Rattus norvegicus: one gene and its partner. The protein of the gene in region 1 interacts with the protein of each later gene in a biochemical or structural test. Links are inferred from orthologs where the notes say so. Each region holds a gene or a part of one and is shown on either strand. Other genes may lie near its edges.

Region 1 (4,229 bases):
ATAAAGAATATGTAGGGGAAACTTATGGTAACCAGAAAAAAATCTTGGAATGAGGCCTCACACTCAAACAGTAACTACTAAGTGTGCAATCCTGGTGTGCTTTAAGATCCACAATAATAAACGTTTATTCTCTCTGCTTCATGAGGTTAACTGTAAACCCGGATACTGGGATACAAAACTATAAGAACCTTTCCAGAGCAGATTGTTATTGTCCACTCACAGATAGCCACGGTGACTGTAAAATGTTCCTAGGTAGAAACTGTCTTAAGATTATTACTTTAGGAGTTGGAGAGATAGGTCAATAGTTAAGAACAAGAAAATTAAGACTAATTGAGCTCCAGGAACCCACAAGGTGATCCACAAACATCTGTAATTCCAGTTTCAGGGGATCTGACATCCTTCTTCTGACTTCCCTGGGCACCAGTTACACACGTGGCACACACACATTCACGTAAATAAAACACTCATACACATTAAAGAAAAACTTTAAAAGAAAATTATTTTACTTTTTTCTTGCCCCTAAGGCGGACCAGAGTCGGAGGGAGGTGGGGAAAGGGGCGCGAGGGGCGGGGGGGAGATTGAGGGTGAGATAAAAATAATAACACAAAAGAAAAGGCACCCAAATGCAAATGGGCTTTAAAAACCATTATTTCAAAGCTAACTACTTCACCGGGAGCCTCTTCTTACTCCACTGGCCCAGTTTCCACAAGTCTCAGCAGGAGCTTGGTTGGGTGGAGGTCCACGCTGGCCAATAGAAATCAGCTGTATTCTTACAGGTTTCGCAGCAGGTGGAGAAACTGAGCGTGAAAAATTACTTAAACGTGGGCTCGGTCTTTTACCGAGGTCAGGGACGCCCGCCTGATTTGTCCTCCTCTACTAACAGGAACAGAAAGAAATGTTGGGGACCCAGTTTCCTAATCCCTTCGCCCCGCAATCCCGACTAGTAACACCTCCATCATTAGCCGAGTATATTCTCCCCGCTCCTGAGAGTGTTGGAGGGACCTGTGGTTGTCCTTTATTGTCTAGAGAGCACCTGCCAGGTGGCTGGCCCGTGCCTAATGCGCGCGTGGCGCCTGGCTTCACAAAGCGCGGGCAGCACCTGCGTGGTCAGCCAGCCGCCTCGGGCTGAAGAACCACCGACGGAGGGAGAGCGCTGGGAGGGAGAGGATTCTGGGTGGAGGGCCTATGGGGGCTCCAGGTCTTAGAGGGCACAGCGCCCCTGGAATCAGCATATTCCAGTCCGAGAGCCCCGGGCACCAGGCAGCGGGAGGGAGTGCGACCCGGGCGGGAGAAGGGAGGGGCGTGGCCACGCGCTGGGAGGAGGGCTGGAGGAGGGGCTGTCGCGCGCCGCTAGTGGCTCTGGGGGCTCGGCTTTGCCGCGCTCCGTGCACTTGGGCGAGAGCTGTAGCAGAGAGAGGAGCTCAGAGTCTAGCGCAGCCACCGCGATGAGAGGCGCTCGCGGCGCCTGGGATCTGCTCTGCGTCCTGTTGGTCCTGCTCCGTGGCCAGACAGGTGGGAAAGAGCGGCAGGCAGGAGGATTGCACCCCCTGTGGGCGCAGCCCGGGTCCGGGAGGGGTGCCACCTGGGTGCGTCCAGAGTGGTAGCTTTTGGCTTTTCCCAAGCCTGTGTGTTACAGCTACAGCGAAGGTGGCGGGCGGACGCTGGACTCCGGTGGCTCGCCTCGCTCACCTGAGCTGGGAGACCGCAGCCCAGGCAATGGAGACCCGGGGCCGAGGGTCTTCTGGGAGCCGGGACAGCGGCTGCAGGCTGCGGGCGAGTTTGGTGATGCTTTTGTGCCGACTAAGCGCGGCCTCGGGCTTCGCAGGGAGAGCGTCCTCTTTCCTAGTGAGGTGCTGCCACGGCTCCCTTTTTGTTAAAAGTTGCGCGTGGGTGACCGGCGCCCGGGAGGACCAGCCCACGGGTCCCCGGACGCACGCTGGGCAAACTTGGAGAGCCTTTTCTCGGGGCCGCTGCTTCCCCAGCTCGGGCGCTCTTTGTGCACAGTGCTGGGGGCTCAACCGCAGCCGCTCTCGTCGTGCGCGGCGCCACCCGTGGAGACGAATCTCGGGCTTGCTTGTCCCCTCCCCCCCGTTTTTTTGCACGGGGAGCACGCGGCGTGAGGCTCTGGGGCGGGACCCCACGAGCCTGTAGGTGGCGGCTATGGGGACAACTTGAGCCGGGCGTGTGGCGAGCAGCCGCTAGGTTGCAGACTTTTTCCTTTTGTAAATCTCGTGCTAGAGACTCGCCCCTCTCTGCAGCCGCACGGTGTTCATTGCTGCCACGCGCCAAGGGAGCTGCTGTAGCCTACGTTGGCTGCCAGCTTCTGGGAAGCAGCGACTGCGTGCGGGGACGCAGCTGTTCTTGCCACCTCGTGCGGGCTGCAGCAGGACCAAGTCAGCCCGCTCCAGCTTTGGAAACCTCTGGTTTTAGTGTGTGTGCCTTGTAATCGCAGGTGGCCTTTTTTGCGGGGGATCCCGAGATCCTGACACCCTCTCCCTCGTGATAGCCATACTCAGGGCTGCCTAGGGAGGCTAGGTGGTGGGGGTGAGGGGTGAGAGTAAGCGTCCTGCAAATAGCATTTGTTTCTGTTCTGAAAACCTTGTTACCTCTGGAGGGTAACTTGGGTCTCCAGATCTTGAGGCTCCTGGAGCTCCTCAGCCCTGCCCCTTTTTGCCAGGTGTCGCTGGTGCACTGCCTGTGCAGGTTGCCTGATTAGTCCCGGAAAGCTTACTCTCTCCCAGGTCATTTTCAAAACAAAACCCAGGAACCTTTTAAGGTTACCCTGATGCACTAGAGAACAATCTGCGCGCTGGAGTAAAGCGTCAGATGGCCAGCATCTCTGTGACCTGTTTTGAGCCTACCGTTTGGCGGTTGCGTTTTCCTGATCTCATTCCCTCAATGCTTTTGAAAGGCCGGGAGAGGGCTTTCCTGTGGGGGAAGCCTTGCAACGGAACCTCTGCACTAGGGGAGGGGTCATGGGGGGTCACAAATGAGTGTTCAGATTCCTAGGTGTATTTGACCAGTTAGCTGAAAATGACCCCAGTGATCTTTGTGTTTTCCACCTTGTTCTGCTTTAGACCAAGGTGGAGCACCACAAAGATCACAGTTCCCTTTTGAAAACAGAAACGGGTCAGTGGTGTGCATTTTCCCCCTGGTTAGTGTGCTCTGGCCAGTAACTTTTTGGCAAAGGGAATTTGAAGGTCTGATTCCTGGCACACAGTGTGTTTGTAATTCCCTTCTCTACCCCAGTTTCTAACCTTCTTTGCCTCCCTGGTTGTGTGCCCTTGGGCGGTCATTTAAATTGGGAGTGGGTGGGGGGCTTGGGTTTCCCTGAAGGTACTTGAAAACATTTGCATCATGAAGGATCAGGGGGAGTTCAGAATTTCAGAAAGCTGCTTTCTTGTCTAAGGGCCATTTGGGGTGTGTGTGTGTGTGTGTGTGTGTGTGTGTGTGTGTGTTTTTTTTACTGTTTTGCTCCCGGCTTAGGTTTAGCGGGAAGCAGTTTGTATTTTTGTTTATGTTGTAGCCTTTGGAGGGCTAACATGTGCCTGCTTTGCAGTTACCCCTCCTTCCAGGGCATTTACAGCTCAACAGGATGGCTCAACAGGATGGCCCTAGAACAGTGAATCAGACGTCCCCCTGTTCCTGCAGGTGCAAGCCTCTAGTCATTCATGCACCTGGCATTCTGGTTTATGATCCTGCTGGAAATAATCTGATAGTTCCGTGTGAAGAGATAGACCCTAATAGTTAAACTTCTCCCCCATTCCGGGCTTTCCCCACCCATCCACACATTCCTTTTTCCTATGACGTTATAAATGGCATGCCTGCCGTGCTTGTGCAACACGCTTTCTAGTGTGCTTTCCATATTATATCATGGATGTGCTTTGTGCATATGTGGGGCTTCACAATCAGCAAATGCCTGCCAGGCCTCGAACTGAGAGCTTTGCCTGCCATTTCTGTACTCAGGGGGCACAGGAGGTTGGACCACAACAGCGTCTATTCCCTCTCCTCTACTGTTTTCCAATTGGAGGATAAGTCACTTGGCCAAAACAGCCAGCGAAGGAAGCCGAGCTCAGCTCCATGTGCATCCCTTATACAGAGTCTGTTGTAAAGTAAGATACTTACAAAAGTATTTAATGAGTGGTTACAATAAGTCCAGCCCTGTTGGAGGTTTTGGGGGTCCAGGACTGCTCATCTGGGTAAGATGGCTTCAGGCTGCCTGTTTTAGG
Region 2 (4,228 bases), about 2.7 Mb from region 1:
TCGCTCAAGAGTCACAGATTAAATTAATGAGAAGTATATATATATATATATATACACAGAGAGAGAGAGAGGCGTGTCAAACAATTATTAATTCCAGGAACACAAAATTGTGCTTAGCTTAGCTGTGAATATTGACCTTGCCATAAATATTGTGGCTTATCTTGATCTAGCCATTTCTGAGCTCAAAATTCTGTGCCTGCATATGTTTACAATTGTTTGCTCCTTCTGTTTCCCCAGTAGCACCCTGTTTGTGGGGTTTTGGTTGCTGCTGCTGTTGTTGCTGTTTTAATTCCTTCCTTCCTTTTTTTTTTTCCCCCTTTAAACTGGAAATGTAATTTTCAACCTCTGTTTCATGGTAGCTTGGGTCACCTGAGCTCCGAGCGGTCTAATGTGCAGAAGAAATTAATAGTTATAATCCGACCCAAGGAAGGACTGGCTGACCCAGGCATGGATTAAAAGGCAGGCCTAGGAGGAGACTGGTGTGGAGGTACAGAAAACTTCTACACCCTCTTCTCTAGGTGTCTGTTTTTTACCAACAAATCTCTTCTAGTAGCATAATTACACGGAGTAAGATCATTTTCCCGCTGCCCGTGATCGGAAGTTAACTTCATTCCCTTCTTACGGACTTGGACGCCCCACTTAGGACCTTAATCCGAACAAAATGGCTGCCTCCCAAAACTCTCGCTATGAATTCAACTTCAAAGACTCTGCATCACCCGCTGTTCACTGGACAAGGTGAGAGCTTCGTAAGGGCTCTGAGCAGGGACAATGTCCACAGACACTGGGAATCGGCAGAGGAGCCATGAGCAAGCGGAGTTATCAATGCCCTTAATGATCTGTAGACAACAAGTCATCTTCCTCAGATGGGAGTGGAGACCCGGGGAGGGGTGAAGCAAATGCCAAAATCTAGTAGAACGGGTGCAGGGCTAGGAAGAGAGGCACCAACCAGGCCAGCCTGGAGAACCTGTAGGCAGAGGTGTGGTTAGAGGCCCTGGGTGCCTGGGGGAAGGCAAGGAGGCCAGGCATTCTTCAAGAATACAAATGGGCCAGTAATTATCCAGTCTCTCCATCCTCCTTTCCGGATCAGCTGTTGGGAGGGACGTTACCATCCACTGAGCGTCACAGGTTTGATAAAATGTAGCCTCTGCCCTGCTTTGTAAACAAGACCACCTTGATGTAAGGAAAGCAAGGAAACCCTGGCAATGCTAAACCATGCATTCATACCCTAGATGCTTTACTGTTTAGGAAGAGAGGAAAGGGAATGGAGAAACGGCTCTTCCAGAGGTCCTGAGTTCAATTCCCAGCAACCACATGGTGGCTCACAACCCTCTGTAATGGGATCTGATGCTCTCTTCTGGTGTGTCTGAACGCAGCTACAGTGTACTCATACATAAAGTATAATAAACAATCCTTTAAAAAAAAAAAAGAGGGCTGGAGAGATGGCTCAGTGGTTAAGTTCACTGACTGCTCTTCCAGAGGTCCTGAGTTCAAATCCCAGCAACCACATGGTGGTTCACAACCATCTATAATGAGATCTGATGCCCTCTTCTGGTGTGTCTGAGGACAGCTACAGTGTACTCAAATACAAAATAAATAAATAAATCTTTAAAAGCTCTTCTTTAAAAAAAAAGAAAGAAAGAAAGAAAAAGAGAAAAATTCTAGGCCACAGATCCATGTAGGGCAAAGGTATTGCCAGCTAGAGCTCAGCATTGATTTGTGTGTGTTTACAATAATTGTCCCACACAGTTCCACAAAGCCAAAGGCACACACCCTTGTGGGAAGAATGAGGGTGATTAACATAGGCACTCTACAGAAAGCACCCAGCGATGACAAGGATAGGAATAGTGACCAGATTAATAAGTGTACGGCGAAAAGATAAGCCTTTCTTAAACAATGAAAATATAACTGAACAAACGTGTAAGCCACAGCTCCCCAACCCCCAACCCCCCCACCCCCCAGTAAATATCAAGCAGTTCCTTATTTTGAGTCTTGCAGACCACAGAGCTACCAGTGTTGTTCACTCAACTATTAAACCCCGGGTCTTACTTAGGAGACTTGCTGATAAGTTGATGCTTCCTCCTAACACTCCCCGACTCTGTAAAAGAGAATAATCTAGACGGGAATAGGTTGTCAGAGTTTCCTAAGAGGAAAATGGCCACTCACTGGAAAAATGTAAGGCATCTGCTTAAAGCATACTATTCTGGACAGGCTTCAAACCCACTTAACTAAGCCAGCCACCCTGTCGTCCCAATCTAACACTGAGATCAACTCTTCTAAATCAAATAGTCCAGTTTCCAAAGATCAACCCGAGGTGGGACCTGGTACACAGAAACATATCAGTCATTCGCCAACGACAGGAAAAAAGTTAAGAAATGTATAATCCAGGGAAAATTGCACCTTCTTGGGACAAGGTCCACTTAGTTTTTCCCACATTGATTCTTCAAACCCCTGTTTATCAAGATCCAGATACCACTTTCCAGAAGGGAAAAATAACTAAAGAAATAAGTGCACCTGCTCGGCGCACAAGCAACTGTGGACCATCTTCCTGGATTCTAATTTTACCGCGGCACAGGCAGAGAGGAGAAAGGCCTCCCTGCCGCTCGACTGGGAAGGGAACTCAGGCGAAAGTGCTCTCGGCTTAGATCCCAAGTCCAAAAGGGCTCAGATCTGCAGCCACCAGGGAAGGCGCGGCCATCAGGGGAGCGCACCTGTCCCCTCTTCCTGGCCCAAGGGGGACGGGCCTCTGACCTGACGCTCCCACCTCCATGTGAAGGGTAGAAAAATCCTGCCTAATCCCACTAAGATCAATCTCCGGCAGGTGGAGGCCACCTCCGTGAGCGCGCACCCCTCTGATCCTCCTGGCCGAGAGTCCCTGGGTTCTTACCTTGACCGAGCGCGTGCTGACACAGGACAGGAGACAGCGCGGGCCAAACTGCGGAGCCTGGAGTTTGGCAAGCGCTGACCAAGCCCATCGTCACGCCCACTGCCTAGCTCCTCCCTGGCCCCGCCCCCTCACCGCACCGCCCCTGCCCTCCGCTGCCCACAGCCGCCAGTTCCCACCTTCCTTCCGCGATTTCAAAGTCAAAGACTGGTGCCCGAGCTCGCCGTCCTGCCGCCGAAGTTCCAGAGAGCGCCTGTTATCCACACAGACGCGGCGTGGGGTCTCTCTAAGTCCGGACTTCCCATCCTAAGAGAACCGTCCAGAGAAATGCTCTTTCGTCTCCGGCTCGGAGAGCCGGTAGCAGTGACACCTGTGGGTGGCTGAGAGCCCTGTGGGAACAGGGAACCGACCTCCACTTCCGCTTGGCCCCCACCCCCGCCCCCCGCGGGCAAACCGGATGATGATGTGCCTTGCGGTGATAAAAGAACGGGTCATTTGACTGACAGGCCTGAAGCATCAGAGCCTAGCGTAGGGTCACTTATATTATTAGTGTTGATACACTAGTAATGAAAACAATCTTGAAGTTACTGACTTTAAATCCCGTGAAGTTCTTAGACACAGGGAAAGAACGCACCTATTGTCATCTAGCTAGCTAGCTACCTGAGAAGCTGGCCTTGAAAGACTGGGGCTGTAGTGATACGATATTTGCTTAACATGCACAAGGCCCTGGTTTGATCCCTACCTTCAAGTCTAAGTTGTCTTTGATGGTAGTTGTGACTTTTAGTCACTATTACCCATCCTGTACTCTCAGACAAGCATGGCGACCCACATATTTAATTCCAACAGTTGAGAGTCAAAGTCAAGCCCATTCCTATGCACTTTTTAAAAGATCTATTTATTTTATGTATGAGTACACTGTCACTGTCTTCAGTTACACCAGAAGAGGGCATCAGATCTCATTTACAGATGGTTGTGAGCCACCATGTGGTTGCTGGAAATTGAACTCAGGACCTCTGGAAGAGCAGTCAGTGCTCTTAACCACTGAGGCATCTCTCCATTTATGGTCAGCCTGGTCTACATAAGTGGTTCTAGGCCAGCCACGGCAGGGATATGAGGACCTCTCAGAGGAAGAGAGACACAGGATGGGACTGTATTGTTCATGTATAGTCCCTGGAAATAAAAGACTGAGCTCTGTCCCCCAAAAGCCTTTGGGATGGAGAAATTAATTTGTAAAATGTTCACTACGAAAGTGCAGATTGATTAGGTGGAACCCATATTTTTAAAAAAATGGAAGAAAGAAAGAAAGAAAGAAAGAAAGAAAGAAAGAAAGAAAGGAAGGAAGAAAGA

Evidence for each region. The genes of interacting proteins can lie anywhere in the genome.
Region 2: the proteins of Kit (region 1) and Tec form a complex in vitro, tested with the Homo sapiens proteins (2 studies listed by BioGRID and IntAct, with this or other methods). The link is inferred for Rattus norvegicus from reciprocal best matches to the Homo sapiens genes KIT and TEC.

Annotation. Positions count from the first base shown.
Region 1 is NC_086032.1:32,975,985-32,980,213, reverse strand, and holds the start of Kit (mast/stem cell growth factor receptor Kit precursor), read left to right. Parts: upstream 1-1,401; 5' UTR 1,402-1,445; coding exon 1,446-1,512; intron 1,513-4,229. UniProt on the Homo sapiens protein: Tyrosine-protein kinase that acts as a cell-surface receptor for the cytokine KITLG/SCF and plays an essential role in the regulation of cell survival and proliferation, hematopoiesis, stem cell maintenance, gametogenesis, mast cell development, migration and function, and in melanogenesis.
Region 2 is NC_086032.1:35,705,580-35,709,807, reverse strand, and holds the start of Tec (tyrosine-protein kinase Tec), read right to left. Parts: upstream 2,939-4,228; 5' UTR 2,885-2,938; intron 1-2,884.